Macaca fascicularis: one gene and its partners. The protein of the gene in region 2 purifies or fractionates together with the protein of the main gene of each other region. This does not show direct contact. Links are inferred from orthologs where the notes say so. Each region holds a gene or a part of one and is shown on either strand. Other genes may lie near its edges.

Region 1 (4,522 bases), on a different chromosome or scaffold from region 2:
ACTAAAACTACAAAAAATTAGCTGGGTGTGGTGGTGGGCGCCTGTAGTCCCAGCTACTCGGGAGGCTGAGGCAGGAGAATGGCATGAACCTGGGAGGCGAAGCTTGCAGTGAGCTGAGATCACGCCACTGCACTTCAGCCTGGGCGACAGAGTGAGACTCTGTCTCAAAAAAAAAAAAAAAAAAAAAGAATACTTGCTGCTGGGCACAGTGGCTCACTCCTGTAATCCTAGCATTTTAGGGGGCTGAGGCAGGCAGACTGCCTGAGCTCAAGAGTTCAAGACCAGCCTGGGCAACACAGTGAAACCGTCTCTACTAAAATACAAAAAAATTAGCCAGGCGTGGCAGTGTGTGCCTGTAGTCCCAGCTACTCGGGAGGCTCAGGCAGGAGAAATTGCTTCAACCCGGGAGGCAGAGGTTGCAGTGAGCTGAGATCACAGCACTGTACTCCAGGCTGGATGACACAGTGAGACTCTGTCTCCAAAACAAAAACAAAAACAAAAAAAAAAATACTTGCTAACTGGGCAGGTGCAGTGGCTCACACCTGTAATCCCAGCACTTTGGGAGGCCAAGGCAGCAGATCACTTGAGGTCAGGAGTTCAAGACCAGACCAGCCTGGCAAACATGGTGAAACCGTCTCTACTGAAAATACAAAAATTAGCTGGGCATGGTGGCACGTGCCTGTAATTCCAGCTACGCGGGAGGCTGAAGCACGAGAATTGCTTGATTCTGGGAGACGGAGGTTGCAGTGAGCCAAGATAGTACCACTGCACTCCAGCCTGAGTAACACAGCCAGACTCTATCTCAAAAAAAAAAAAAGAATATTTGTTAACTGCCTGGTACAGAAAATATTTAAAACTACTCAGATTTTAAGCTTTTTACCTATATTTGACCAACTGACATAAGGAATTATCTGTCTCTTTTTTTTTTTTTTTTTTGAGACTGAGTCTGGCTCTGTGGCCCAGGCTGGAGTGCAGTGGCCGGATCTCAGCTCACTGCAAGCTCCGCCTCCCGGGTTTACGCCATTCTCCTGCCTCAGCTTCCGGAGTAGCTGGGACCACAGGCGCCCGCCACCTCGCCCGGCTAGTTTTTTGTATTTTTTAGTAGAGACGGGGTTTCACCGTGTTAGCCAGGATGGTCGGAATTATCTGTCTTTAACATGCTGAAAGAGAGGAATTAAAAACTGTTATTCTTTTATCTGACGAGGATCTGAATATGTATGCATAGGAGATCTAAAGGAAAATAAAAGACAAGCTTCTTTGGAAAGAGGCCTGGAGTTCGAGCCAATTAACGAAGGAGGCTGGGAGTTAAATTCCTACATTAACTACCTACCTACCTACCTACACACACACACACATACACACACACACACCCCTCCAAATCGCAAAATAGGGCACTTTTGAGAGAAATTATCTGGTTCAGTTCTAAATAAGGGGTAACAGGTATTTTATTTGTTAGAACAAGCATAAAGCATCATATGGACAAGAGGGCTAATACACTCCTTGTAGCGACCACAATTCTCATGTAACCAGAAAGGGAGAAATTAGCATCCTAGATCATACAATGAGAATCCCTGGCCAGGCGCGGTGGCTCACGCCTGTAATCCCAGCACTTTGGGAGGCCGAGACGGGCGGATCACGGGGTCAAGAGATCGAGACCATCCTGGCTAACACGGTGAAACCCCATCTCTACTAAAAAAAAATACAAAAAACTAGCCGGGCGAGGTGGTGGGAGCCTGTAGTCCCAGCTACTCGGGAGGCTGAGGCAGGAGAATGGCGTAAACCCGGGAGGCGGAGCTTGCAGTGAGCTGAGATCCGGCCACTGCGCTCCAGCCTGGGCGACAGAGCGAGACTCCGTCTCAAAAAAAAAAAAAAAGAAAAATACAAAAAATTAGCCAGGCATGGTGGCAGGCGCCTGTAGTCCCAGCTACTCGGGAAGCTGAGGCAGGAGAATGGCGTGAACCAGGGAGGCGGCGATTGCAATGAGCCGAGATCGCGCCACTGCACTCCAGGCTAGGCGACAGAGCGAGGCTCCGTCTCATAAATAAATAAATAAATAAAATAAAATAATTCCTGGCCAGGCGCGATGGCTCACGCCTGTAATCCCAGCACTTTGGAAGGCCGAGGCCGGCGGATCACTTGAGGTCAGGAGTTCGAAACCAGCCTGGCCAACATGGTAAAACCACGTCTCTACTAAAAATACAAAAAAAAATTAGCCGGGCATGGTGGCACGCGCCTATAGTCCCAACTATTCAAGAGACTGAGGCAGGAGAATAGCTCGAACCCGGGAGGCGGAGATTGCAGTGAGCCAAGATCGTGCCACGTGTGCACTCCAGCGTAGGCGACAGAGCAAGGCTCGGTCTCAAAAAAAAAAAAAAAAAGAATTCCTAAGGTCCAATGGGTAGAGAAAAGGAGAACAGAATAAGGAGTCTGGAAAAAATATTCCACAATCCATGCTAACTTTATCAGGTATCCCAGAACTTTGATGAAACACTGATTCTTTATCATGATAAACCTATTTAATAGGGATTAATAGGAAACCCAAGAGAAAACAGTTTCCTGAAAGAATGTGGCAGGGAATCAGCAATGGAGAGTCAAACTTGGGAAACCACCAGGAGGAGCCTGTAACGACAAAACATCTGTATTCTTTTCTCATAATATGGGGCTAGTTTGGTGGTTTTGGTAAATTAAAATCAGGATATCATCCACAATGCTAAAAATAAGGGGAAACCTGAAGAGTCCTAATCCAGTACGCTTACAGGTCTGTGTATCCTAAGGAGTCCATGTGCTACCTTTAACTTTCCATCGACTCTATGCCCTCTCCCCGGCAGGGCTTCCTACTCTAAACCAAGGCTTTAGCTCCTACACTAGGCCACACACTTATTCCAAGGGTCGGCAGAACCGTCAGTCCCCAAGAATTACCCGGAACTCTCCTTCCCCGTCTCCCACTCGGGCTGCACCCTGACTCCCGGCCCCTGTGGACAGCACAGCATCTCTGCTGCCCCTCCAGCTCCTACCAAAATCAGCGCTTCCATCTTGCCCCGCAGCTGGTGCCGACGTGGAGCCGCAAAAGTAACGCCACCGCTGATTGGCCATACGTCCCCATTAGGCCCTGCCTAGGATAAGGATCATTGGGTAAGACTTGCTCTGTTGACCAATTATTGTACTAACTTGCTTACCGGAAGCAGAGTATCCAACCAGAAGGCACAGGTGTTTGATTGTCAGTTTGAATACTCAATAAAACGCCAAAACCTCACGACTTATTAGGGCGGGAGGGTCGGTGGGGCGGGGTTGTTTCCATGGGGAACGGAGGAAGCGATTGTTAATTTTCAATTGGTAGGGCCAGGGACACGTGATATTGTCGGCCTGATTTAGCGATTTTAAACCGCACTCTCTTTAGGGGGCGCTGTGTCTCCTTAGCCTTTAACGCTGACGCTTCCTAACAGGGATCCTCCCCTAATAATCCCTATTTTCAGCGCCCCCTAGGTCCATGATCTCTGTGGCTAGCCCTTCCCTCAGGCTCGCTCGGGTCACTTTAGCATCCTCACAGAAAGTCTGCACAACCATAGAGTAGAGCCAAGAAAGGCCCAACATGTTAACTACATAAACCAAGACTGCCAGAAGATGATAGTCGCAGTAACAATCTCCCTAAGGTGGAGTTCCAGGCTTTGCTGGGCCTGAGGAACATGAGAAGTCAGAGTTTGTAAAAGCTAACTTTGGCTCAATCGTCTTTGGAGATGGAGTTGGGGGGACAAACGGGGAAAGGGATTAGAATAAGGGAGGGTTATAGGGAGTAAGGTCTGGGGTTTTCCAATAGAAACAAGCCGTTGTGGCTGGGCGCGGTGGCTCAAGCCTGTAATCTCAGCACTTTGGGAGGCCGAGGTGAGCAAATCATCGGAGGTCGGGAGTTCGAGACCAACCTGACCAACATGGAGAAACCCCGTATCTACTAAAAAAAAAAAAATACAAAATTAGCCGGGCGTGGTAGAGCATGCCTATAATCCCAGCTACTCGGGAGGCTGAGCCAGGAAACTCTCTTGAACCCAGGAGGCCGAGGTTGCGGTGAGCCAAGATCACGTCATTGCACTCCAGCCTGGGCAACAAGAGCAAAACTCCATCTCAAAAAAAAAAAAAAAAAAAAGAAAGAAAAAGAAAAGGAAAGAAACGAGCCGTTGCAAAATGAGAAAAGAGAAGTTTACTGAATGCAACGATTTCACAATAGGGAATGGTTTTGATGAAGCTTGGCTTTCCCCTATCTCTTGGTTTCCTGATCCCTGACTCCTCTTAGGGCAGGGATACCTATTGCCTTAATTATCCCTCAGGGATTTTTTTCCCTCATCTCTGAAAATTATGTCCTTAGGAGCTCTCCAAGAAGAGATTCCAGACTTATCCAGGAATTTTTCTTTTTCTTTCTTTTTCTTTTTTTTTTTTTTTTTTTGAGATGGAGTCTCTCTCTGTCTCCCAGGCTGGAGTGCAGTGGTGTGATCTTGGCTCACTGTAACCTCTGCCTCCCAGTTTCAAGCGA
Region 2 (3,984 bases):
TTTGTCAGTAGATTAAAACTGTTTCTCAGCCAGGCACAGTGGCACACGTCTATCATCCCAGCACTTTAGGAGGCCAAGGAGGGTAAGAATTGCTTGAGCCCAGGAGTTCAAGACTAACCTGCACAACACAGTGAGACCCCATTTCTAACCAAAAATACAACAATTAGCCATGTGTGGTGGCATACCCTGTTTCAAAAAACAAACAAATAGGCCGGGCGCGGTGGCTCAAGCCTGTAATCCCAGCACTTTGGGAGGCCGAGACGGGCGGATCACAAGGCCAGGAGATCGAGAGACGATCCCGGCTAACACGGTGAAACCCCGTCTCTACTAAAAAATACAAAAAAACTAGCCAGGCGAGGTGGCGGGCGCCTGTAGTCCCAGCTACTCGGGAGGCTGAGGCAGGAGAACGGCGTAAACCCGGGAGGCGGAGCTTGCAGTGAGCTGAGATCCGGCCACTGCACTCCAGCCTGGGTGACAGAGCAAGACTCCGTCTCAAAAAACAAACAAACAAACAAACAAACAAACAAATAAAACCCAAAATCCGTTTCACCAAAATGGAAAAAGCTTTGATGTCCTTTTTGATTATAAAAATAATAACCCAGGCCGGGCGCGGTGGCTCACGCCTGTAATCCCAGCACTTTGGGAGGCCGAGGTGGGCGGATCATGAGGTCAGGAGATTGAGACCATCCTGGTTAACACAGTGAAACCCCGTCTCTACTAAAAACACAAAAAATTAGCTGGGTGTGGTGGCGAGTGCCTGTAGTCCCAGCTACTCAGGAGGCTGAGGCAGGAGAATGGTATCAACCCAGGAGGCAGAGCTTGCAGTGAGCTGAGATTGTGCCACTGCACTCCAGCCGGGGGACAGAGCAAGACTCCATCTCAAAAAAAAAAAAAAAAAAAAAAAAAGAAATTAAAAAAAAGAAAAAAATCCGCTGGGCATGGTGGCTCACACCTGTAATTCTAGTGCTTTGGGAGGCCAGGAGTTCAAGAACAACCTGGGCAACACAGCAAGAACAACCCCGTCTCTACAAAAAATAGTATTTTTTTTTAAATTTAAAATAACATAAACTCTTCATAAAGACTGCAGATGGTCAGGCATGGTGGCTCACGCCTATAATTCCAGCACTTTGGGAGGTTGAGGCAGGTGAATCACCTGAGGTCAGGAGTTTGAAACGAGCCTGACCAACATGGCAAAACCCCATCTCTACTAAAAATACAAAAATGAGCTGGGCATGGTGGCAAGCGCCTATAATTCCAGCTACTCGGGAGGCTGAGACAAAAGAATCGCTTGAACCCAGGAGGCAGAGGTTGCAGTGAGCTGAGATCACACGACTGCACTCCAGCCTGGGTGACAAAGCGAGACGCCATCTCAAAAAAAGACAAGAAAAGACTGCAGACATCAGACAGGAGACGACTGCAGCCAGCCTGGGCTCCTGGCCACAGCACGCTGTCCCCTAAATAAGGACTGGGAGTGTCTCTCCAATACTGAATATGTACTCAGGTGAGGGGTCCCACATGCAGGGCCAGGCAGCTGAGGTGACAGACCACTGAGGCCCAGGCTGCCCAGATGCCCCATTTCTGTGAGGCCGGAATCTGGATTTCTTTGCAGGTGCGATCCCTGCTTTGTGGATCTCGCTGCTGACTGGGCCTCAGAAGCCCTGTGGGGCCACACGCACACGCAGGGCATCTCTGCTACACTTGTTTCTGTTTGCCCTGACCCCGCCCTCCGGCCGCCTGGCCTTCCCTCCGTTCCCACTTTGGGACAGCCTTGTGCCTACCTTGTCTAGCGCCTCCTGTAGCAGGCCCTCAGCGGCCTCCCAGCGGCCCTGGGCCATATGGCAGGCCGCCTGCCCATTGAGCAGCAGCAGGGTGGGCGAGCACTTGTCAGCCATCTCCTGGAAGATGTAGTAGGCATCCTGCAGCTTCTCACCGCCCTGCAGGGAGGGTCCCACATCATCATCTGTGCTGCGGCCGCCAGGCCCTTCCACCGTCAGCCCCCTCCCCAAGAGGGGGCTCTGCACTGCACAGACACAAATCTGGTATGCCCGGTTCAAGGCACAGCCACTCCACCATGGGGACCACTCATAACCTGTACTCTGCTGACGGGGCCTAAAGACTCGCGGCCGCCTCCTGCCTCACCTCCTACCCGGCTCCCAGTGCGCTGGGTACACAGAGGTGGAATTTAGGGCTTCCAGGGCACAGGGGCACAGGTGGCTGGGCCAGGGTCTGAGTGGGGACCACTGGGTCACCGGGCACATCGGAGGAGGATGAGTCAGCTCTGTGACCAGCAACTCTGACCTGCCCGCTTGCTCAGGACTGTGGGATACTTGCAGGGGGAGCCTGAGGTCAAGGCAGGCTGTGAAAACAGTTCAAACTACCCGAGAGGGCTGCCGAGGCCTGTCCCACCACACTGGACGGCCACTGGAAGTCCATCTGGGTGAGGCTCCAGCCCCGTGGTGGGCAGGGACGGGGAGCACATTTCTTCCCCCCAGAGTTTTGCTCTTGTCACCCAGGCCAGAGTGCAATGGCACAATCTCGGCTCACCGCAACCTCCACCTCCCAGGTTCAAGCGATTCTCCTGCCTCAGCCTCCCAAGTAGCTGGGTTTACAGGTGGGTGCCACCATGCCCGGCTAATTTTGTATTTTTAGTAGAGATGGGGTTTCTCCATGTTGGTCAGGCTGGTCTCGAACCCCTGACCTCACATGATCCACCCACCTCAGCCTCCCAAAGTGCTGGTATTACAGGCGTGAGCCACTGTGCCCAGCCAGGAAGTGTATTTTAACAGGCCTGCACAAAAGAATGGCTCAGAAGGGGGCCAAGTCCCAGAAACCAGGAGGGGGGTGTTGCCAGGCAGAGGTGCCCAGGCCTGGGAGCTGAGGACATCTCCACCGCTGCTATGGGAACACTGAACCCTGTCCCTGGCTGGGGACCAGGACCCTGGAGAGCAAAGCTGAGTCGCAGAAAACCCCAGGAAGCCCTGGGGGGAGGAGGGGCTGCCAGGCCAACCCAGACCCTCGAGTCCCCCTGCGCCTCAGGCTCAGGAACCCCGTCCCCGTCCCCACCATCGCTCTGCCTCTGGCCAAGCCGCTTGGCTGTGAGAAGCCCGGAATGGAGTGAAGGCTGAGAGTTGTGCCAGGCTGGCAGGGGGCCATGGCCTGATCCTGGAGCCCCACTGGAGTGGCCGGCAGCCTGGGCACAGGTGGGGGTGCCCACAGACCCTACTCAGCCAGGTGCCCACAATGCCCGCCTGCCTCGTGGCCCAGGACTCACCGTGGCCAGGCTGACCCAGGCGGTGGCGAGCTGGGTGAGGGTGGCATCCTCGTCCAGGTCCTGCATTCTCTTCAGTTCCTTCCTGGGGTGGGGACAGAGGACGGAGGGGCTGAGCGGCCGAGAGCCCTGGCCTGGCTATCCCTGCCTTGTTCCCACTTGGGGCCCGCCAGAGCCCGGGGATGGCCCCCACTACGTGCTCCCCTGCGTGCTCATACCCCACGACGAAGTGCCCGAGCTGCCCTGCCCGCCCCACCACGTGAAGGCCCCGGGAAGGCGGGACTGGAGCCAGCTACGGACCCCCGAGGTGGCTGGCACAAGGTAGGGCTCGGGAGAGACTCGCTCCACGGAAGATGGAACGCAGGGAAGGGCGACGGAGCTACAGCATGAACAACTCTGAGGCAAGGGCTTTGGAAACGGCAGCAGGGGAGTCCTGGACCACCAGCCATGGCCTCCGACCTGGTGACGCCACGTGCAGGCCCCGCCAGCCCCATGGCACAGTTACAAGCTGGCCCAGCGACATGTTCCTCCGGGCACGACCTCCACTCCCTCCATAAAGCCCACTCTCACCCTGTGGGACAGGCCCACCACTACTGCAGAGAGAGAAACTGAGGCACAGACAGCCATGGCCCTCCTCCCTGGCAACATACTGCAAGGAAGGGCTGAGTGACGGCAAGTCACCCCCACGGAAAGGAATAACGAGTAATGACAGCACC
Region 3 (3,984 bases), on a different chromosome or scaffold from region 2:
GACTTTCTTGAGTATAAAAAAAGAACACACAAAAAAAACAGAGTAGAAGCGGTATACTGCTTACTAAGTGACTGGTGTCTGCTTTAAGCTAAATGATTCAGGGACAGATGTGACTAAAGTGTAATCACTGCCCTTAAGAACTGGGGCTCAGTTCTCTTATTTCTTCCTGCCACAGTTTAGGGTGGGGGGGTCATACATTGATTTGTAGGTTCAGTTAGAAAATATTGTCTGTCAGTCCCTGTGTGTAGCTCTGGGGATGTAGCAGCAACAAAGATAGACATAGCCTCTGTAGCCCCAGAATTTATGGAGAAATAACCAGGCATCAGGCCATTAAGGTAGGGTGTAATATGGTTTATCACGGAAGTATTATGGGCTATGAGAGGAGACCAGAAGAGCATCCAGCTGGATTTGAATTAGGAAAGTCCTCCTAGGGGAATGATCCAAGTAGAGTCCTGAAGGATGAGTAAGAAGAAATAGGACAGGCCAGGCGCAGTGGCTGACACCTATAATCCCAACACTGTATCCACAGTGTAATCCATAGGCCGCAATGGGCGGATCACTTGAGGTCAGAAGTTTGACACCATCCCGGCAAACATGGTGAAACCCCGTCTCTACTGAAATAAAAATTAGCCAGGTGTGGTGGCGTGCACCTATAATCCCAGCTACTGGAGAGGCTGAGGCAGGAGAATTGCTTGAACTGGGGAGGTGGAGGTTGCAGTGAGCTGAGATTGTGCCACTACACTCCAGCCTGGGTGATAGAATGAGATTCCGTCTCAAAAAAAGAAGAAAAAAAGAAGCCCGGCACGATGGCTCATGCCTGTAAACCCAGCAGTTTGGGAGGCCGAGGTGGGTGGATCATGAAGTCAGGAGTTTGCCGGGTGCGGTGGCTCAAGCCTGTAATCCCAGCACTTTGGGAGGCCGAGGCGGGCGGATCACAAGGTCAGGAGATCGAGACCACAGTGAAACCCCGTCTCTACTAAAAATACAAAAAATTAGCCGGGCGCGGTGGCGGGCGCCTGTAGTCCCAGCTACTCAGGAGGCTGAGGCAGGAGAATGGCGGGAACCCGGGAGGCGGAGCTTGCAGTGAGCCGAGATCGCGCCACTGCACTCCAGCCTGGGCAACAGCGTGAGACTCCGTCTCAAAAAAAAAAAAAAAAAAAAGAAGTCAGGAGTTCAAGACCAGCCTGGCCAACACAGTGAAACCCTGTCTCTACTAAAAATACAAAAATTAGCCAGGTGTGGTGGCACACACCTATAATCCCAGCTACTGGGGAGGCTGAGGCAGTAGAGCTTGAGCCTGGGAGGCAGAGGTTGCAATGAGCCAAGACCGCGCCCCACTGCACTCCAGCCTGGGCGACAAAGTGAGACTCTGTCTCAAAAAAAAAATTAAAAAAAAAAAAAAAGAGTAGGACAGAGTGGAGGTGAGGGGTGAGGAGTGCTATAGGCTAAGGAAACAGCACATGCAAAGGCTGGAGAGGGGTGAGCATAGCCAGTTGGGGAAATTCAAGGAGTTACATTCAGGTCACTGGCAGTAGGAAGCTATGGAAACTTTTTAGCAAAAGCAGGGGGATGACCTGTTTGGTTTTGAGTTTTATGAAACTCCCTCCAGCAGCTGTGTGGAGTTAGACTTAGAGGGGCAAGAATAGAGGGAGAGCACTGGTTAGGAGGCTTGTGTAGTAATCTGGGCAAGGGTGGTGATGGGAGCTGGAGAGGAGTGAGCAGGCTCAGGCTTTCTGCATGCTGACAATGCCTTCTTCCTTGCAGCCTAACAAAAGACATGACTGGGAAAGAAGACAACTACCGGGGCCCAGCCGTGCGAGCCCTCTGCCAGATCACCGATGTGAGTCATGCCGGTCCTTCCCTGCTTCCTGGCCTCTCAGTTGAGGCTCTCGGCATCATCTTTTGCATGCTTTGGGGTGTCCCCTATCTCACTGAGCCAGGTGATGTGGGGTGGAGGTGGTGTGCAGGAGCACATGAGAAACACTTCCTCCTCATACTCCTATCTGCCCCCATTTCTGCACTCCTGAGAGCTGCCAAGGACTGACTGGATCTCCTTCCACCCTGCTTCTTTTGCCCACAGAGCACCATGCTGCAGGCTATTGAGCGCTACATGAAACAAGCCATTGTGGACAAGGTGCCCAGTGTCTCCAGCTCTGCCCTCGTGTCTTCCTTGGTGTGTAGCTGCTGCTGGAGCCCTGCTGGGGGTGGGGTAGAAAACTGAAGAAAATTTCAGAGTCACATTCCAGTAGGAAAAAAGAAAGTGTTTCCTTCTTTTTTATTTTATTTTATTTTTTTAACTGAGACAGAGTCTTACTCTCACCCAGGCTGAAGTGCAGTGGCACGCTCTCGGCTCACCAACCTCTACCGCCAGGGTTCAAGTGATTCTCCTGCCTCAGCCTCTCGAGTAGCTGGGATTATAGGCACCGGCCACTGTGCCCAGCTAATTTTTGTGTTTTTAGTAGAGACAGGGTTTCATCATCTTGACCAGGCTGGTCTTGAACTCTGGATCTCGTGATCCACCCACCCCCCTTGGCCTCCCAAAGTGCTGGGATTGCAGGCGTGAGCCACTGCTGCTGGCCTTTTTTTTTTTTTTTTTTTGAGACAGAGTCTCACTCTGTTGCCTAGGCTAGAGTGTAATGGCTTGATCTCAGCTCACTGCAACCTCTGCCTCCCTGGCTCAAGCCATTTGCATGCCTCAGCCACCTGAGTAGCTGGGATTGTAGGGGTGCACCACCACGCCCAGCTAATTTTTGTATTTTTGGTAGAGATGTGGTTTCACCATGTTGGCCAGGCTGGTCTTGAACTCCTGACCTCAGGTGATCCACCCGCCTTGCCTCCCAAAGTGCTGGATTACAAAGCATGAGCCACTGCACCTGGCCAAAATAAAGTATTTTTGTATCTGTAAGCCTGAGAGTCCCACCCTTCTCCGTGAAGAGAGCCAAGGAACTCTGGGGTGATTGAAGAGGGTCGTGGGTGGATGGCGTTGACCCATGCCTTGGGCAGGGACAATGAGGGTGGGAGCATCCTGAGTTTGTCCATGGTCTCTGAAGACCAGGACAGTGGCGAGCCCCTGAGCTATGTCTGAGGGAGGACCAGAACTGGGCCCAGAAGGTGTGATGGGGACACTTCCTACCTGCCCCTTAATGTGCCCTGTTGCCCACAGCACCTGCTGAAGTGCAGTTTTGATGTGGTCAAGCGCTGGGTGAATGAGGCTCAGGAGGCGGCATCCAGTGATAACATCATGGTCCAGGTGAGATGTGAGCAAGGGAGTGATATTTAAAACACTCAGGCAGGTGGTAAGGCACTGGCCGGTTGGCATGGCCACTTGCCACTGAGATCCTTGTGACTCCTGGCCATAGCAGGCTTTAATCTTTTTGTCATTGGATCATGGGAAGAATTGGGAGGTCCTGGGTTAGAGAATCCAGGGTACCACTTCGGGGGCTTGGGTTAGAGACTGCTTACCAGCTGGTGCTGAAATATTCAAGTGTTTTGATAACCAGTTGAGTATTGTTTTGGAGCAGATGATGTGGCAAACTTGGCCAAGGCAGGCAGAGGGCTGCCTAAATTTAGGCCTTTGCCAACTTGGCTTTGTTATGATGTGTGGAATTATCTTGATGAGGCTTTCATCCACTTTACTCTTCCTCGGTGACCTAGGCCAGCCGTTCCTTTTATCTCTCTGGGTCGTGATTTCCTTGTCTGTAAAATACAAATGAAGGTTACTGCCTCACAAAGCAGCAAGGATGAGCCGAGATCATGCATGTAACACATGACCCATCTGGGGCCTGCCTGTCGGCGCTCCCTGTGTGTTTATGTATTCCCTTCATCTCTCATCTGTCTTCTCATCCTTTGCATGAGTCTTGTCTTCAGGGCCAGCTGTGGCCCCTTAAAACACTTATGAGGGCCAGATAAGCTTCCCACATAGAAGGCATCCACAGCTGCCATAACTTCGCCCTCAAATGTCGCTTCTTTAGGAAACAAAGAGTA
Region 4 (3,984 bases), on a different chromosome or scaffold from region 2:
TAAAGTCTTAAAGAGAAGTGTGTGTGTGTGTGTGTGTGTGTGTGTGTGTGTGTTTGGATCAGTAAGTCTTACCTAAAAAACATTATCTAAAAAGCACAACCAAACAAGTATCAGAACTAGAACGGCAGATTAGAACAACTGCTTAAGAACTGGGAAATGAAAGAGTAGTTCCCGTATTCTTTTGGGACACCTATATTCTAAGAGGACACCCAATAAATGTCTGCTGAATAAACAAGGAGCTGCAGCAGTAAGTCGCTGGGGTGGGGAGCAGGAGCCTGCAAACTGGTGAGCATCAGCTGCTTTGGAGGAAAAACTAGTTTCGCACAAAATGTAAAAAAAAAAGTGGAACCCAGTATTATAGCAGTACTCTTACCACTCTTGAGAAGAGCCTTAGGGTCTCCAAATCTTCTAAAATGTTGCTGTTTTTGGTAGTGATCAGTACCATATAGAGTTTCTCCATAGGCTGGTAGACATATCTTACACTCTCTGTTTCAACAAACGTATGTTGTTTTCCAGTGTTCATGAGCTTTGGAAAAGCTGCTAATAAGCCCTCAATCCGAGTTCGGGTCATTTCCACAAACTGTCGAGAGACAATAGCCTTTCCTGCTTTTGTGCAGACCGCTGCTGCCAAGAGCACCTGCCAGGAACATATGCATAAATAAGTACTATTATTTCTTCACATCTGTTTTCTCAACATCCCAGGAAATGTTCCATAAAATGACATATTTATTTAGTGACAGAACTAGTAGTAGTATTATTTTTAAGACAGAGTCTCACTCTGTCACCCATGCCGGAGTGCAATGGCAAGATCACAGCTCACTGCAATCTCAAACTACTGGGCTCAAGAACTCCTGAGTAGCTAGGACTACAAGTGCGTGCCACCAAGCCTCGTTAATTTTTAAAAAGCTTTTAGTAGAGACAGTGTCTACTAAAAAAGTTTAGTAGAGACCACTATGTTTCCCAGGGTGGTCTTGAACTCCTAGATTCAAGCAATCCTCCTGCCTTGGCCTCCCAAAGTGCTGAGATTATAGGCGTGAGCTACCACGACCAGCTGACATGACGAGCAATAGAATACTGACTTTCACGGGCACAGTGGCTCACACCTGTAAACCCAGCACTTTGGGAGGCCAAGGTGGATGGATTACTTGAGGTCAGGAGTTCGAGACCAGCCTGGCCAACATGGCAAAACCCCATCTCTACTAAAAATACAAAAATGAGCCAGGCATGGTAGCATGCACCTGTAATCCTAGCTACTCAGGAGGCTGAGGCACGAGAATTACTTGAACCCGGGAGGCAGAGATCGAGCCACTGCCCTCCAGCCTGGGCAACAGAGCAATACTCTGTCTTTAAAAAAAAAAAAAAAAAAAAGAATGCTGAGTTTCAAACTTTTACTCCATTGTTCTTTTCATTGTAATACGTAATTTATAAGACAAAGCTAAGGTAGAGGAAACTAACGCTATTATTCCTGTTTTTCAATAACATACCTATAGAAAAACTGTGTAATGAAATGACCTTTTTCCAAGACCATACATATATTAATGAGTCTCCTGTGACTCAGAACTGGGTTGCTCTCTGCTTTGGCAAACCCACAAAGAACAGCTTAAAACTTTTTCTAAAAAGAGCAAGATATTTCCAAGCCCATGCTGAAGTGTGATCAGGCAGATTAAAAATATTAAAGACATAAGAAGCCCCTTACATTTATTATTTTTACCTAGAATATGAACCCAAGCTACTGAGTCTAAATTTATCTTCTGCTCCTTGACTAACTTTCCCATTCACACTGTCTTACTCCCAGATATCCAAACAATCTGCAAAATAAAAATCTAAATGGCTCAATGTTTCACATAGGTTTTGATATTAGGCAATGATCAAGACCTAATAGCCCCTATTTTAGCATCTGGCATTTCACTAAACAAAACAAATAAAGTACCAAAGGAAGCAGCGGAGACCTCAAATGCCATGAGCAGGGGAGTAAGAAAATTAAGTCCAGTCCCCTCAGTGCAGGAACCCAAGAGCTCATTCACAAGCACAAGTAACAAACACTATTAAAACATTTAGGAAGCCTCAATGCTAGGATATAACCTCTGAAATATCAAAATCCTACTGGTCAGGCTTCTCAGCTTTATAGAAAGCTCTACAGGTGAGTAGCTTGAAGAACAACAAGTTAGCCAATTTAAATAAATATTCTTATAGTTTCTTTCTTTTTTTTTTTTTTGAGACGGAGTCTCGCTCTGTCGCCCAGGCCGGAATGCAGTGGCCAGATCTCAGCTCACTGCAAGCTCCGCCTCCCGGGTTTACGCCATTCTCCTGACTCTGCCTCCCGAGTAGCTGGGACTACAGGCACCCGCTACCTCGCCCAGCTAGTTGTTTTTTTTGTATTTTTTAGTAGAGACGGGGTTTCACCGTGTTAGCCAGGATGGTCTCAATCTCCTGACCTCATGATCTGCTTGTCTCAGCCTCCCAAAGTGCTGGGATTACGGGCTTGAGCCACTGTGCCCGGCCTAATATTCTTATAGTTTCAATACATCAATAGTTTTATATTATAGGAGAACATAACATCCTTATCCACTAAAAATAGGTAATTAGGGTATGTGGGAGACAATCACCATCATGCTTATTTCTCAACAGCAAGTGGTCCCGAATAGCTGGAACTACAGGCGCCTGCCACTACGCCCAGTTAATTTTTTTTTCTTATTTTAACTTCCTTTTAAGATGGAGTTTCACTCTTTTTGCCCAGGCTGGAGTGCAATGGCGTGATCGTAGCTCACGGCAACCTCCACCTCCCAGATTCAAGGAATTCTCCTGCCTCAGCCTCCCAAGTAGCTGGGATTACAGGTGCATGCCACCATACCCAGTTAATTTTGTATTTTTAGAACTTAGTACTCCTAAGTTCGATCACCTAAGGTCAAAGTGATCCACCCGCCTCGGCCTCCCAAAGTGCTGGGATTACAGGCATAAGCCAACGTGCTTATGCCCTTTTTAGGGCATAGGCCCTAAACAGTTTTGAAAAAGTAGTCTTGGGCCACGCACAGTGGCTCACACCTATAATCCCAGCACTTTGGGAGGCAGAGGCGGGTGGATCACCGGTGGCCGGGAGTTCGAGACCAGCCTGACCAACATGGAGAAACCCCATCCCTACTAAAAATACAAACACACATTAAAAGAGACTTAGACATGTCAGTCCATCACAATGTACAAATCAAATTTGAACAGTGATTGAATAATTGATAATACTAAAAAATTAATGCTAATTTTTAGGTGTGAAAATATGCTATCATAGTAATATATTTTTATGGAAGGAATACTTATATATTTTTTAAAAAGAGTTATGTAGTTTTGAATCCTTCCACAGTCTGTCATATTAAAGGTGCTCCCTCAATGACTATATTGAACTAAAAGAGTTGTCTGGGATACACCTTATCTTCAAACTATGCTAGTTTTGCATGTGGTAGCAACGAAAGGTCACTGGATTTAGTAATTATCCTGAGGATCAGAATTCACAATTTCTTTTTTTTTTTTGGAGACAGGGTCTCACTTTGTCACACAGGCTGGACTGCAATGGTGCGATCGTGGCTCACGTAGCCTCAACTTCTGGGCTTGAACAATCCTCCTGCCTCAGCCCCTTGAAAGGAGCTGGGACCATGGGCAGGTGCCACTACGCTTGGCAAATTTTTGTATTTTCAGTAGAGGTGGGGTTTCACCATGTTGCCCAGGCTGGTCTTGAACTCCTGGACTCAAGTGATCAGCCCACCCTGGCCTCCCGAAGTGCTGGAATTACAAGTATGAGTCACCACGCCTAGCCAGAACTCACAATTTCATGTGTTGAATATCAGTTATAAATATTCCTTTTAAAAGTAACTGTCCTAATATTATATAAATGGGTTTTTATGACTTGGGATAAAATTTCCCAAACTGCCAATATATCACACATGGATTCAAAACTGCTAAATAGCAAACTGATGATTCAAAAAGTGGCCCAAGTGA
Region 5 (4,743 bases), on a different chromosome or scaffold from region 2:
ACTGCTGCCCCTGCAGCCCCTCCTGCCGTCACCACTCACATCTCCCTGCCAAGGCCGGCACAATGGCAGCAGCCACTTCAGACAGCCCACTGCTGCCATCACTAGGTACCAATGTGTTCACATCACTATTTCCCTCATGCTGACACCTTCCTGTGGAGGTGTCATTTTCTAACAAGCAATATTTTCCCACATCAGCTGGGATTCATAGCATTTTGAAAAACAAATCACAGTTTGAAGGTGGGGGACACCTTTTTATAGACATTACATTTAAGTACTTCCCTGGGTTTCTCTGTAACTAAAAAAAATAACTATAAGGAGATACAAAATTTCTTAAGTGATGGTAACTGGAAAGCAAGATTGCAGAAGCTACTGATTTGCTTGCTTACTCCAATTTTTCTATGATGATCATGCATTGCTTTGTGTATTAGTTTGTTTTCACACTGCTGTAAAGAACTACCTGAGACTGGGTAACATATAAAGAAAAGAGGTTTGACTCACAGTTCTGCATGGCTGGGGAGGCCTCACAAAACTTACCATCATGGCAGAAGGTGAAGGGGAAGCAAAGCACGTCTTACATGGTGGCAGGAGAGCGAGCGAGCGAGGGGGTAAATGCCAAACACTTTTAAACCATCAGACCTCGTGAGAACTGATGAGAATGGCATGGGGGAAACCATCCCCCATGATCCAACTACTTCCCACCAGGTACAATTTAAGATGAGATTTGGGTGGGTGGGGACACAGAGCCAAACCGTATCACTCTGCATGATTTTTAATATTCTAAGATCAAAAAGAAAAACATCACTTTCAAAGTACATGAATGATACCAACAGTAGTTAGAAAAGAATATGACATTTTATTTTCACTTATGGACATACAGTACATGAATTTAGAAATAAAATCGTCGCAGGATTCTGAAATACTGATACCTTAAGATCTAACACACTGATTAGTCCATTCCCTACAAAGCAGCCACATTAGCAGCTCAGATTTGGTCTTTGTTGTAGTTGTTGACATTAAGTTCTTTAAGTGAAATGCCCAGCAGCATTTAAATAATATTTTACAGCAGACATGAACTAAGTTTCAATATTCCATCTTTGGAACACATTATGCTTATTTACATGTTAACAGGTGGCTATATTTACTTACCCTATTGTGAGTTTAATGACTGATTTTAAGCTACAAAGGGTTTTCCAGCTATTATTTCCTTTAGAGTTTCTAAAAGTAACAACTTGTATCAATGTTTTACAAAAGATAATGATGAAAAAAAGGTAATGCTGAAATAAAGGCGCTTTTAGAAATATTTAAGGACAACATAAGGTATTAATATTGGAAAAAAACTGTACATATTTTCAAGCACAACACTGAAATATTGTAGCAGTGTTTAATTGAATTGTTTTAAAATAGTGGTAATTATACTACCTTACATACTGTTCTAATATTTAAATCTCTTAATTACAATTTGAATATACAATCTGACTTACAATTAGAACTATGCACAGTTTCCGAAGCATATTTTTCAGGTTTGTTTTTGCACATAAATTAATGTTTAAGTTGGTCCTTGATTTGGAGAACTATAACTACCTGGAAGCACTAAGTTTTAGACACATTTATTGACAGCCAACAAAATCCTTGACAGAGTGAAAAGCATCAAGAGTACCATGCGTGGAAAAGCAGCTGTTGCCCCCCAAGTGCAATATGAAATCTAGAACAAGACCCTCTCAGAGGCCTGCATGTCTCAATGACTGACCCTCAAAGAAACCAAAATGTACAGGAGGAAGTAGCTGACCAGTCATGGGCATCTTCCACACTGGGGCAATCTTTAAAACAGAGGTGGCTTTGGACCTCTAGCATAAGAGATAGACTTTACATTCTTTGATTTTATTTACACTTTTTTAAAAAGATAAAGTATATCTGAATTCTCTCATCACATCTAAACTGCTGGTGCACTGGCAGCTCAAGCTGATTAAAGTCATGAGGCAGCCCACCAGAGACTTTAAAAGAACCCCAGACCACATCCCCTCCTCTTTCCTATCATGAAGTCACAGACTGTCTCATCAAACTACTTGATGTCTGTAAGAGACTTACATTTTATAAACACAGTTAGCTTATTACTGAACTTTTAAGAAAAGTCCAAAGATGTGTGGAAAAGTATGCCTGCTAACAGTGACTGCTTCTACAAGGACAATAATGAAACTGAGCTACAAAAATAATTTTACTGTTTTAAATAATGAAAGGAGCTAGGTTTTTAAAATATATTACTTATTCTGCAACAGCTGATTAAACTGACAATCAATAGAATCCAATGAACAGATTCAGCTTCCATTCTGCAAGCTGAATTCAGGTTATATTTTAATTACAGAATAGCTTCAAATTATAAATCTAACTGTCCCAATAGCAAAGAGACCATCAAGGCAGTAACATCAGATCAATTCTGTCATCATCCTGCACGGAGCACAAGATGTGCTTTTGGATAAAGGCATTAAAAAGACCTTGGGCTGATGTGGAAAGCGGGTCAGTAAAGACTCCAGTTCTGCACAATGGAATCTTCCAAGCCAAGCCGCTTTCCACAAATACAAATTCAGTCTATCTTTTCCTTCTGGACCAGTCTGGGAGCATCAACAAAATCTTTGCCATTGTAAAGAATGATAAAAAATGTTCCAATGCTTGCAACTCCCCAGAAGAGCACATAGGCCAGTGTTTCTGTCCAAGTGTCACCTGTTGATATTAAGAAACAAAAAGCTAAATAAGGCATTTGTTGATATCAGACCCAGTTTTCAGCTGTTTAGCACATTTTGGCAACATTAAAGTTTACTAGCACATTCACAGCAAAAATAAAGAACCTCTTAATTAAGGTTTAAACCGGTGGTTCTCAAACCCTGGCTAGTACCAGAATCTTCTGCAGGGCTTGATAAAGCATCAACTGTTGAGCCCCAAGAATCTGCATTCCAGCAAGTTCCTAGTTCCCAGGTGATGCTGATGCTACCGATCAAGAGGCTACACTTTGAGAACCACTGGACTAAACGATTTCATATATTATACAAATAATAATCACTTTTAGTATATTTTAATAATACAAAAAACTATTGTTTAATTTATAGTTCTGTAACAGATATGAGCTATTATCAAAATACCTGCACAAAAAATTTTAATATTCATAAGTTATGAATACCAAACATAAGTTATCCAAAACTTTTCTGAAGTTACATATATTTTGTAGGGTATTTTTTGCACATACATAAATATATAAAACAAAAGTCAGTAACATTTGCTTTAGAGATGGGGTCTTGCTGTATTGCCCAGGCTACGGTGCAGTGGCTATTCACAAGCACGATTCCACTACTGATCAGCACGAAAGTTTTGTCCTGCTGTTTCTGACCTGTACTGGTTCACCATTCCTTAGGCAACCTGGTGATCTCCTGCTCAAAGAGGTCACCATATTGATGCTGAACTTAGTGCGGACATCCGATCAGCATAGCACACTACAGACCAGAACTCCTGGGCTCAAATGATCCTCCTGTTTCAGCCTCCTGAGTAGCTGGGACTATAGGCACACACCACAGCACCCAGCCAATAACATATTTGAATGACATATTTAGCCCAACTCTGCTGATACGCATTTTCCAAAGTCCGAAGTTCATAAAGGTTAGCAGCAGGCCAATGGGCAAAGATCTACTTTGTTTTACTCCTTGAATAGCTGAACCTAGAGAATAGCTTCTCTCTCTGCAACAGTACTGGCCTCATCTGCAGACGGAGAAACACATACAGGGAATAACGGCCAGTGAGAGAGCACACCAGGGAAGAAACCAGTCTCCAGACTCTTTCCTAACAAGCCCTCAGAGATCATGCTACATTTGTTTTCTATTCTCTTTGAAAACCACAGCAGGAGCTAGAAATCAGATATTGCCACACCCAAATGTCACAAAGTTCGTTATAACAATTAACTGACATGAGATGTTACTATCCACAGCATCCAATCTCTTTTTATGCAAAATATACTCAAATTTGCATAACTGCTAATTTTCATGGCTCTGAGTTTTAAAATTCTTCTTGGACAAAAAAAGGGCAGTTCCTTATTGGCCACTCTGCTGGACACACCCTAAAGGAATCACCCGTTTTATTCAGGCAGAGCCCTTGGTCTTGACTTTCCTGCCTCCCCAGAGGTTCTTTAGGTAAATGTGGGTATAGTCAGAACAACAAAATTAACTAATTTAACAGTACAGTGGCTCCCCAAAAATGGCAAGCACTGGGTATGTTTTCAGGAAAGAAGGCAGAGGATCTAGAGAGAAAATGAGAGCAGGGCTGGCCGCTGAGGAACCTGCACATGCTGCCTCTTCCTTCCTGCCCCAAAACCCGCAGTCACGTCCCGGGCAATGCCTATGTCTCAACCTGTTTTTGGTATTGTAAGGTAAGAATGGTTTTTACATTTTTAAATGGTTATAAACACAAAAACAAACAATGTGCAGCAGAGACCACACACCATCCATAAAGGCAAAAATATTTACTACCTGCTCTTTACAGAAAAATTTTGCTAACTATAATAATAGTAAGATGGCTCTTTCCCCCTACTCAACATTTCAGCATTTAGTCAAAACTACATCACAACTGTCTACAGGGCTGAGCACTGAGAGGAATACCGAGACGAACAGGTAACTGAGCCTCCCTATCAAAAAGGTGACAGAATTAGTGGTGGTGGTGGAGTAAGAGTCCTTAATTCAGCAAACATTTACTGAGGGTTTACTATAT
Region 6 (3,984 bases), on a different chromosome or scaffold from region 2:
GCAGGGAGCTGTCAGACTGACGTGTGACCAGACCACACTTCTCACAGCTTCTTGCCCACACTGCATACCTGGGAGGGACCCCACCCTCTCTGCTCCCTGGTCCATGGCACGATTTTGAGAGTTTAATGCTGGCTGTGCCCCACCTTGGGTTGAGTTCAAGTTGATGTGGCTGCAGCCACCACTTGGTCAAAGGAGGGACTAGGAAAGCCAGGTTCCCCCATGCATAGTTATGACAATATCCAATGTTCTTCAATGGGCTGCTGTGAGACCAAGCCCCAAGCAGACCACACTCCCCACAGCTTCTTGCCCATGCTGCTCACCTGAAGGGTCCCCACCCTTTCTAGTCACAAGCCCACAGCTGGCATCATTTTGAGAGTTTAAAGCTGGGCTACGCCCCACCCTCAGGCTGAGTTTGAGATGATGATGATGTGGCTGCAGCTGTCACCCAACTGGGGGAGGGACAGGGGATAACAAGCTCTCCTAAACACACTTAGCATAATACTCACCACCCTGCTACAGGCAGTTGTGGGACTGGGACCTAGCCTATCCAACCCATTGCAGCTTCTACCAATACCAACACAGACTGCTTGTGACCCTGTGGGTTGCTCCAACACCACTAGTGCCCACACCACACCAGCTGCCAAGGGCCGAAGAACCCACTCACACACTGGGCTCATTGCTCTCAATATTTGTTTCTAGCAAGCCATGTGGAGGCCCAAGGATAGCCCTCTTGTACCCACCAACACTGGAGCCAATGTAAGCTGGGCCTAAAAATAGGCACACGTGGTGCACTGCTGGCACTACTGGAGCCCAAAGACTATGTTTCTAGGTCCCCAGCTAAACTTCACCACGACCTCAACTAATGCCTGTACCCTAAGTCACTGAGGAATCAGATACCACTGACCCTGTGTACTGCTCAAGAGGTCACACAAAGACCCCACTACCACAGGCAGTCAAAATCAAAGTCAAGGTATCTCAATAACAAAATATATGTCTTTAGGAAAAAACTCACTCCTACAAAAGCAATTTGAAAAAACTGGAACAAGCAACTGCTACACCAGATGCACAAAACTGTCTGCTTGAATATACAGGTAAAGTTTGTTTTCTGAAAGTCTGGATGTATACTAAGTAGAGAGTAAATAGGGTTAGTTATACTACTTGACTGAGTATAAAGAAAGAATGAAGCAATACAATGTTTCTACTTTTATTCTTTTAACTGAAATTTATTTTTTTTTTTTTATCATCTCTGACATACTCTCACCAGTTCTATACAACCCTATTCTGGAAGTACTTTTTTAATTAGCCAAGAAAAATAAAGGAAAGGCATTTGGATTGGATATAAAGAAGTAAAACTGTTTCTATTCACAAATGGCATAATTATTTATATAGATTATATAGATAATAATGTGTATGATGATGACTAGAACCACTAAAGGTACTCAGCAAGGTTACAGGATACCAAGTTAATATGGAAAAGTATTTTTTAAAAGTTTTTCATTAGTAGTAAACAATAAAAATTTTTAATAACATATCAAAAGCATAAATATTTAGATATAAATTTAACAAGAGACTTGCAAGACCTCTAGAGTAAACACTACAAAACACTGCTCAGAGAAATTAAAGGTCTAAAGGGAGAGATATACCATATTCATGAAATAGAAAAATAATAAATTAAGATGTCAGTTCTCCCCAGATTGATTTAGAGATTCAACACAATCCTAGTCATAATCCTAGTAGGCTTTGTTTAGTGGAGATTGATAAACTAGTCCTAAATTTCATAGGAAATGCAAAGGAACCAGAATATTAAAAAAGAAAAAGTTGGAAGACCACACTACTTGACATTTAAGAGGTACCATAATGCTACATTAATCAATATTAGTGTGGTAATGGTACTGGATTGACAAACGGTTCAGTAACATGATAAGAAGCCCAAAAATATACCTAAAATTATATGGGTATTTGCTTTGTAGACAAAGGTGCCAAAGCACTCCAATAGAAAAAAGGAAGTCTTTCCAACAAATTATGGTGGAATACAGTAGATAGCGGTATGGAAAAAATACTGAACTTACCAAACAAACAGGAATTCAACTTGGATTACCGCCTAAAATGTAAAATCTAAAACCATAAAGCATTTAGCCTAAAGCATGAGAAAATAAGTAGATAAAGGTTTCTTAGGGAACAGTAATAACTATGAAAGAAAAAAATTGATAAATTAGACTTCATAAAAATTTAAAACTGCTTCTCAAATGACACTGTTAAGAAAATAAATAGGCAGCCAACAGACTGGGAGAAAACATGATCATGTTTAAACTCTTACCTTGAACTCATCTGAGATTTCAGACACAAAAGAAGATATCTGCTTCATGAGCCTGTCCACACTGCTCTCACTTCCTGTTTTGAGGAGTGTAGTAATGGCTAAGGTAGCAATGCTTCTGTTTGAGTCTGTGATTAAGTTTTCTAAGTCCAGATTGCAGGCAGTAACAGCAGAGGGGTGCTTCATTGCCACCTTGTGGAAGGGCAAGAAAAAAAATTACGCAAATTGCTTTTGATAAAGGCCAGAACTTAAATTTTAATTGAGGTAACTGGCAATCCAAAGAGGACAGGATAAGTTAGAAGTCATTGTTTCAAAAAGAATGGCTCCAGTTAACAAGGTATATCTTTTAATAAATGATCAACAGCCAGAGTATAGCATCGTACTCTCTTTTGTTAGGTTCCTATAACCTTTCTAACATTACCATTTTAAAAAAATTATAATTGGCCTGTATTTCCTTATAGTACACGTGTTCATATATGTCTATTAGATGTTAGGAGCACTGAGAACGGGATCTAGCATAGTAGACAGTGCTCGACAAAGACTGTTAATATCTTAGCACTTAAAAAATACTTCTGCATTTCAACACGCAAACTCCAGCCAAACTGCATTATCTATGGTTACTACATAGTCAGCCATTCTCCTGTGTCCTTGTTTTTGTTGATGTTGTTCCATCTTTTTGTCTATCCCAGTATTGGTATAGAATCCCTTACCCACAATTTGGAAAATCTGAAAAAACTCTGGAAAGCAAAGCATTGGGATGAAAATTTATTTAACAGCAAAACATGACCTAAACTAATGTGAAACTCTTTAATTGTTAATTTGTACCACTTGACAAGAATAGTCATATGTTTTGTGCAAAAACATTAATGTGTTTTAATGGTGGGATGCTGCCCCAGGCCCACTAGGGTTAGTAAATAAGATATAACACCATATAACCTTTCTAAAATTTATCTAAAAGCTAATTCTGGGACACATCTGGCCCCAAGATTAGAGATGAGGGATTGTGGACCTGTATCAACTCTTTAAAAACAATTTAGGCCCTGGTGGCTCACACCTATAATCCCAGCACTCTGGGAGGACGAGGTGGGCAGATGACCTGAGGTCAGGAGTTTGAGACCAGCCTGGCCAACATGGCGAAACCCTGACTCTACTAAAAATACAAAAATTCGCTGGGCATGGTGGCAGGTACCTGTGATCCCTGCTACTTGGGAGGCTGGGGCATGAGAATTGCTTGAACCTGGGAGGTGGAGGTTGCAGTGTGCCGAGATCACGCCTCTGCACTCCAGCCTGGGAGACAAAGTGAGACTCTGTCTCCAAAATAAATAAATAAATTAAAAACAATTTAAATTGTTGTTCTATAAAGGTTTATTCCATGGCTGCTCTAAACTTCTCTTTTCTTCAATTGTTTACACAATTAATTTATAATTATGTATTGCCTATGACAAGTCTTCTACTACATTTAACTTTCATTTACATTTTCTATGTTTATTTAATTTATTCTGTGTTTCTGTATTATATCCTCTAAATCTATACAGTCTAATAATGTAGCCGACAGCAACATGTGACTACTAAGCATCTGAAAGGTGGCTAATCCAAACTGAGTATGCTGTAAATGTAAATATACTGGATGTCAAAAACTTGAGATATGTAAAAATATCTATTATATGTTG
Region 7 (3,984 bases), on a different chromosome or scaffold from region 2:
TAAGAGAGAGCAACAGTGTTGTAAAGATATTTAAGAACTTTAAGGAAAAAAAATCATTTAAACCAGATTTTGGAGCAGAAAGTGAGTGTGGTCTACGTATTACATTTTTAAATTCTTTGTAATGGCTCCAAAATGCCTAAGCAAAACTCTTTTTATGTTCCCTTTAGGTATCTATGGCGGCTTCTTATTGGGAGTCAGATCTGTAAATGGCTTAGCTTTCTATGACTGGGACAATACAGAACTCATACGAAGAATTGAAATTCAGCCCAAACATGTGAGTTTCCCCTGTTGTTGTTTTTGGAATATTTATTTTTGTGATGAGTTCTGGGTCCCTAAGGCCAAGAAGTGTCTTGTACCCTGCTGTCCCTCTTCCATTATCAAAAGCCATTTAAAATATAAAACAGCACTTAGAATTTAAATAACTTTTTAAAATACACATCGTCTACGGCCTCATTAGGGTACGACAATCCTGATTTTCTGAGCAATTGGAGGTAAGTGGCAGTGCCATTTTGACAGAGGAAAAAAGCATGCTTTGACAACAAGAAGTCAGAGAATTCTTGACTTGGAAATGCCTTCTTCCACGTAGTTCAGAAAACCTTTTCATATGTTTTGATGATAGCTGCTTGAACTTGAGGTGACCATCTCCAGTGACAAAGTGTTTACCTTTAGAACTGCCCGCTGCTTTGACAGTTTTCACTATCAGGAGATTATCTGTGGAAACAAACCAGCTTTTCTGGGGTCTGGTTCTAGAGTGTGCATTCTCAATGGGCGTAAAAATTGGCTTGGGGGGGCTTACTCTTTATGAATAAAGCATAGCTATACATATGTGTATGCATTACATATGTGTATCTGTGGTATTAACATTTCATTGGGGGAGGTGATTAGAAAAATGTCCAGAAAGACTTCTAGGGAGGGTGGGTGAAAATGAAAAAAAAAGAAAAAGTGATAAACACTGTTCTAGAGCAATAGGGAACAGGCTGCTGGTCCTCTATGTAGCACGTTCAGTGTTTACTGACAGCTGTCCTTTCCTGTCTCACTTTGGACTTTCTATTGCTAGGCTAAATAGCATAGCCCTGCCCTGGCCACCCTCCCAAATAATGCCACATAACATTGTTAAGTGAATACTTATTATCTTGATATAAGAAGATAAATGTTGTAAGAAATCAAGTATGTGCAGTTTGTCATATCCACTCAGAAATCCAAATCAGTTGTCTATGATTTTGTTGTGTTGCAGATTTTCTGGTCTGACTCTGGAGAGCTAGTCTGTATTGCTACTGAGGAATCATTTTTTATCCTTAAGTATCTGTCAGAAAAAGTCTTGGCTGCACAGGAAACACATGAGGGAGTTACTGAAGATGGCATTGAAGATGCCTTTGAGGTAATTGGATCAGCACATCGCTTTTAGCTTTGTATTTAAATGATTTATATTCTTACAACAGACTTTACTGATTTTAACATTTCGTTATAAATTAGGTTTGAGGAGACAGCATTTAAGGATTTCTGGTGAAATGTGAAAATTAAAATCTTGACTCATAGATCAAACTTTGAAAATACGTTTAAAAGAAATTTGTGCTTTGATTTTAGGAATTCTTTAGACTTACTTTGATATCTTTCAGTAAAGAAATTGTAGTCGTTTTGGTCCTAAGACTATTTAGTCAGTGATTTAAATGAGCTCCCAAATGGTAAATCATTCATTATGCAGATATCCTAGATTTTGTGAAATACTTAATATTTCATTTTCAAGTTATGAAGGGTCTAAGTTTAGATCAGTGTTCTTTTATATCATGGTTTTGGCCCAACAATGAGATTTCACATTACAAATACTAATCTAGGAATCTGTTCTTTTTTTTTTTTTTTTTCTGTTTTGAGCCTAAGGGTTATATTGAGTAGGAATCTGTTCTTAAATGAGGAAAGAAATTCCAGCCAGTTGCAGTGGCTCACACCTATAATCCCAGCACTTTGGGAGGCCAAGGTGGGCAGATCACTTGAGGTCAGGAGCTTAAGACCTGACCTTAACTTGGCATGGTGAAACCCCGTCTCTGCGAAAAACATAAAAATTAGCCAGGCATGGTGGCAGGCACCTGTAATCCCAGCTACTTGGGAGGCTGAGGCAGGAGAATCACTTGAATCCGGGAGGCGGAGGTTGGCAGTGAGCAGAGGTTACACCACTGTACTCTAGCCTGGTTAACAGAGACTCCATCTCAAAAAAAATTCCAAGGAAAATTTTTCTTTCTGGAAATAGGAAGGATTTTACTTTGCACTCCTTATTCTACCATATCACCCTCAAATATATTCAGCTTTTTATTGAGAGATTTCTGATGTTGGATAAAGTAATAGTCTTTATTTTCTTTCTGCAGGTTCTTGGTGAGATTCAGGAAATTGTGAAAACGGGGCTTTGGGTAGGCGATTGCTTCATTTACACAAGTTCTGTGAACAGATTAAATTATTATGTTGGAGGAGAAATAGTCACCATTGCCCACTTGGACAGGTACCTGCGTATCATTTCGCATTTGTCCTAAATTTTAGCAAAATCTGTTGTTGGCTTGATAGGCTGATTTTTCAGTGGAATAGTTTTAGTAGGTTGCCTATTGTTAACCAAAAATGTATCAATCAGACGGGAAGGTTTTGAGCAAGAGGCAGGTTGGCGGGGCGTGTGTTTGTGTAATTGCAGATTTGAATTTCTAACTTGGTTTCTGTGTCTTTTATAGGACGATGTATCTCCTAGGCTACATTCCTAAAGACAACAGGCTTTATCTAGGGGATAAAGAATTGAACATCGTTAGCTATTCCCTGCTGGTTTCAGTCCTGGAATACCAGACAGCCGTCATGCGGAGGGACTTTAGCATGGCTGATAAGGTCCTTCCTACCATTCCAAAAGAACAGAGGACCAGAGTTGCACACTTTTTGGAAAAACAGGTAAGAGGTTTTGTTTTGTGTTTTCTTTTTGTTTTTTAAAACTAGCAATTTGAAAGCAAATTAGTATGGAGTTGAAAAACTTTATTTCTTAATTGCCAACTGATTTCTGTGGCAATAGAATTTCTCCTGTGAGTTTAAGGCACTTGTTACAGCATATGATGCACCCTTCTTACACGCTTCCTTCTGCTTTCTCAGTGCCCCCTTTAAATGTTAGAGGTGATTTATCAGTCTTTCTCTTTTTATTATTATTATTATTATTATTATTATTATTATTATACTTTAAGTTCTAGGGTACATGTGCATAACGTGCAGGTTTGTTACCTATGTATACTTGTGCCATGTTGGTGTGCTGCACCCATCAACTCATCAGCACCCATCAACTCGTCATTTACATCAGGTATAACTCCCAATGCAATCCCTCCCCCCTCCCCCTTCCCCCCTCCCCATGATAGGCCCCGGTGTGTGATGTTCCCCTTCCCGAGTCCAGGTGATCTCATTGTTCAGTTCCCACCTATGAGTGAGAACATGCGGTGTTTGGTTTTCTGTTCTTGTGATAGTTTGCTAAGAATGATGGATTCCAGCTGCATCCATGTCCCTACAAAGGACACAAACTCATCCTTTTTGATGGCTGCATAGTATTCCATGGTGTATATGTGCCACATTTTCTTAATCCAATCTGTCACTGATGGACATTTGGGTTGATTCCAAGTCTTTGCTATTGTGAATAGTGCTGCAATAAACAGATGTGTGCATGTGTCTTTATAGCAGCATAATTTATAATCCTTTGGGTATATACCCAGTAATGGGATGGCTGGGTCATATGGTACATCTAGTTCTAGATCCTTGAGGAATCGCCATACTGTTTTCCATAATGGTTGAACTAGTTTACAATCCCACCAACAGTGTAAAAGCGTTCCTATTTCTCCACATCCTCTCCAGCACCTGTTGTTTCCTGACTTTTTGATGATCGCCATTCTAACTGGTGTGAGATGGTATCTCATTGTGGTTTTGATTTGCATTTCTCTGATGGCCAGTGATGATGAGCATTTTTTCATGTGTCTGTTGGCT

What was found.
Region 1: the proteins of COPE (region 2) and COPZ1 purify together in Homo sapiens (affinity purification with mass spectrometry; 3 studies listed by BioGRID and IntAct, with this or other methods). This does not show direct contact. The link is inferred for Macaca fascicularis from reciprocal best matches to the Homo sapiens genes COPE and COPZ1.
Region 3: the proteins of COPE (region 2) and COPG1 fractionate together in Homo sapiens (co-fractionation; 6 studies listed by BioGRID and IntAct, counting the BioPlex papers as one, with this or other methods). This does not show direct contact. The link is inferred for Macaca fascicularis from reciprocal best matches to the Homo sapiens genes COPE and COPG1.
Region 4: the proteins of COPE (region 2) and ARCN1 purify together in Homo sapiens (affinity purification with mass spectrometry; 4 studies listed by BioGRID and IntAct, with this or other methods). This does not show direct contact. The link is inferred for Macaca fascicularis from reciprocal best matches to the Homo sapiens genes COPE and ARCN1.
Region 5: the proteins of COPE (region 2) and SACM1L purify together in Homo sapiens (affinity purification with mass spectrometry; 4 studies listed by BioGRID and IntAct, with this or other methods). This does not show direct contact. The link is inferred for Macaca fascicularis from reciprocal best matches to the Homo sapiens genes COPE and SACM1L.
Region 6: the proteins of COPE (region 2) and COPG2 purify together in Homo sapiens (affinity purification with mass spectrometry; 5 studies listed by BioGRID and IntAct, with this or other methods). This does not show direct contact. The link is inferred for Macaca fascicularis from reciprocal best matches to the Homo sapiens genes COPE and COPG2.
Region 7: the proteins of COPE (region 2) and COPB2 purify together in Homo sapiens (affinity purification with mass spectrometry; 4 studies listed by BioGRID and IntAct, with this or other methods). This does not show direct contact. The link is inferred for Macaca fascicularis from reciprocal best matches to the Homo sapiens genes COPE and COPB2.

The regions. Positions count from the first base shown.
Region 1 is NC_088385.1:61,173,124-61,177,645, reverse strand, and holds the start of COPZ1 (coatomer subunit zeta-1), read right to left. Parts: upstream 3,112-4,522; 5' UTR 3,094-3,111; coding exon 2,920-3,093; intron 1-2,919. UniProt on the Homo sapiens protein: The coatomer is a cytosolic protein complex that binds to dilysine motifs and reversibly associates with Golgi non-clathrin-coated vesicles, which further mediate biosynthetic protein transport from the ER, via the Golgi up to the trans Golgi network.
Region 2 is NC_088393.1:19,305,133-19,309,116, forward strand, and holds part of COPE (coatomer subunit epsilon), read right to left. Parts: intron 3,354-3,984; coding exon 3,272-3,353; intron 1,935-3,271; coding exon 1,779-1,934; intron 1-1,778. UniProt on the Homo sapiens protein: The coatomer is a cytosolic protein complex that binds to dilysine motifs and reversibly associates with Golgi non-clathrin-coated vesicles, which further mediate biosynthetic protein transport from the ER, via the Golgi up to the trans Golgi network.
Region 3 is NC_088376.1:154,168,723-154,172,706, reverse strand, and holds part of COPG1 (coatomer subunit gamma-1), read left to right. Parts: intron 1-1,764; coding exon 1,765-1,840; intron 1,841-2,080; coding exon 2,081-2,173; intron 2,174-3,163; coding exon 3,164-3,250; intron 3,251-3,984. UniProt on the Homo sapiens protein: The coatomer is a cytosolic protein complex that binds to dilysine motifs and reversibly associates with Golgi non-clathrin-coated vesicles, which further mediate biosynthetic protein transport from the ER, via the Golgi up to the trans Golgi network.
Region 4 is NC_088388.1:117,450,577-117,454,560, reverse strand, and holds part of ARCN1 (coatomer subunit delta), read right to left. Parts: intron 638-3,984; coding exon 374-637; intron 1-373. UniProt on the Homo sapiens protein: Component of the coatomer, a cytosolic protein complex that binds to dilysine motifs and reversibly associates with Golgi non-clathrin-coated vesicles, which further mediate biosynthetic protein transport from the ER, via the Golgi up to the trans Golgi network.
Region 5 is NC_088376.1:108,647,430-108,652,172, reverse strand, and holds the end of SACM1L (phosphatidylinositol-3-phosphatase SAC1), read right to left. Parts: intron 2,716-4,743; coding exon 2,579-2,715; 3' UTR 834-2,578; downstream 1-833.
Region 6 is NC_088377.1:172,077,393-172,081,376, forward strand, and holds part of COPG2 (coatomer subunit gamma-2), read right to left. Parts: intron 2,507-3,984; coding exon 2,318-2,506; intron 1-2,317. UniProt on the Homo sapiens protein: The coatomer is a cytosolic protein complex that binds to dilysine motifs and reversibly associates with Golgi non-clathrin-coated vesicles, which further mediate biosynthetic protein transport from the ER, via the Golgi up to the trans Golgi network.
Region 7 is NC_088376.1:42,202,315-42,206,298, reverse strand, and holds part of COPB2 (coatomer subunit beta'), read left to right. Parts: coding exon 1-81; intron 82-167; coding exon 168-274; intron 275-1,234; coding exon 1,235-1,378; intron 1,379-2,357; coding exon 2,358-2,488; intron 2,489-2,708; coding exon 2,709-2,916; intron 2,917-3,984. UniProt on the Homo sapiens protein: The coatomer is a cytosolic protein complex that binds to dilysine motifs and reversibly associates with Golgi non-clathrin-coated vesicles, which further mediate biosynthetic protein transport from the ER, via the Golgi up to the trans Golgi network.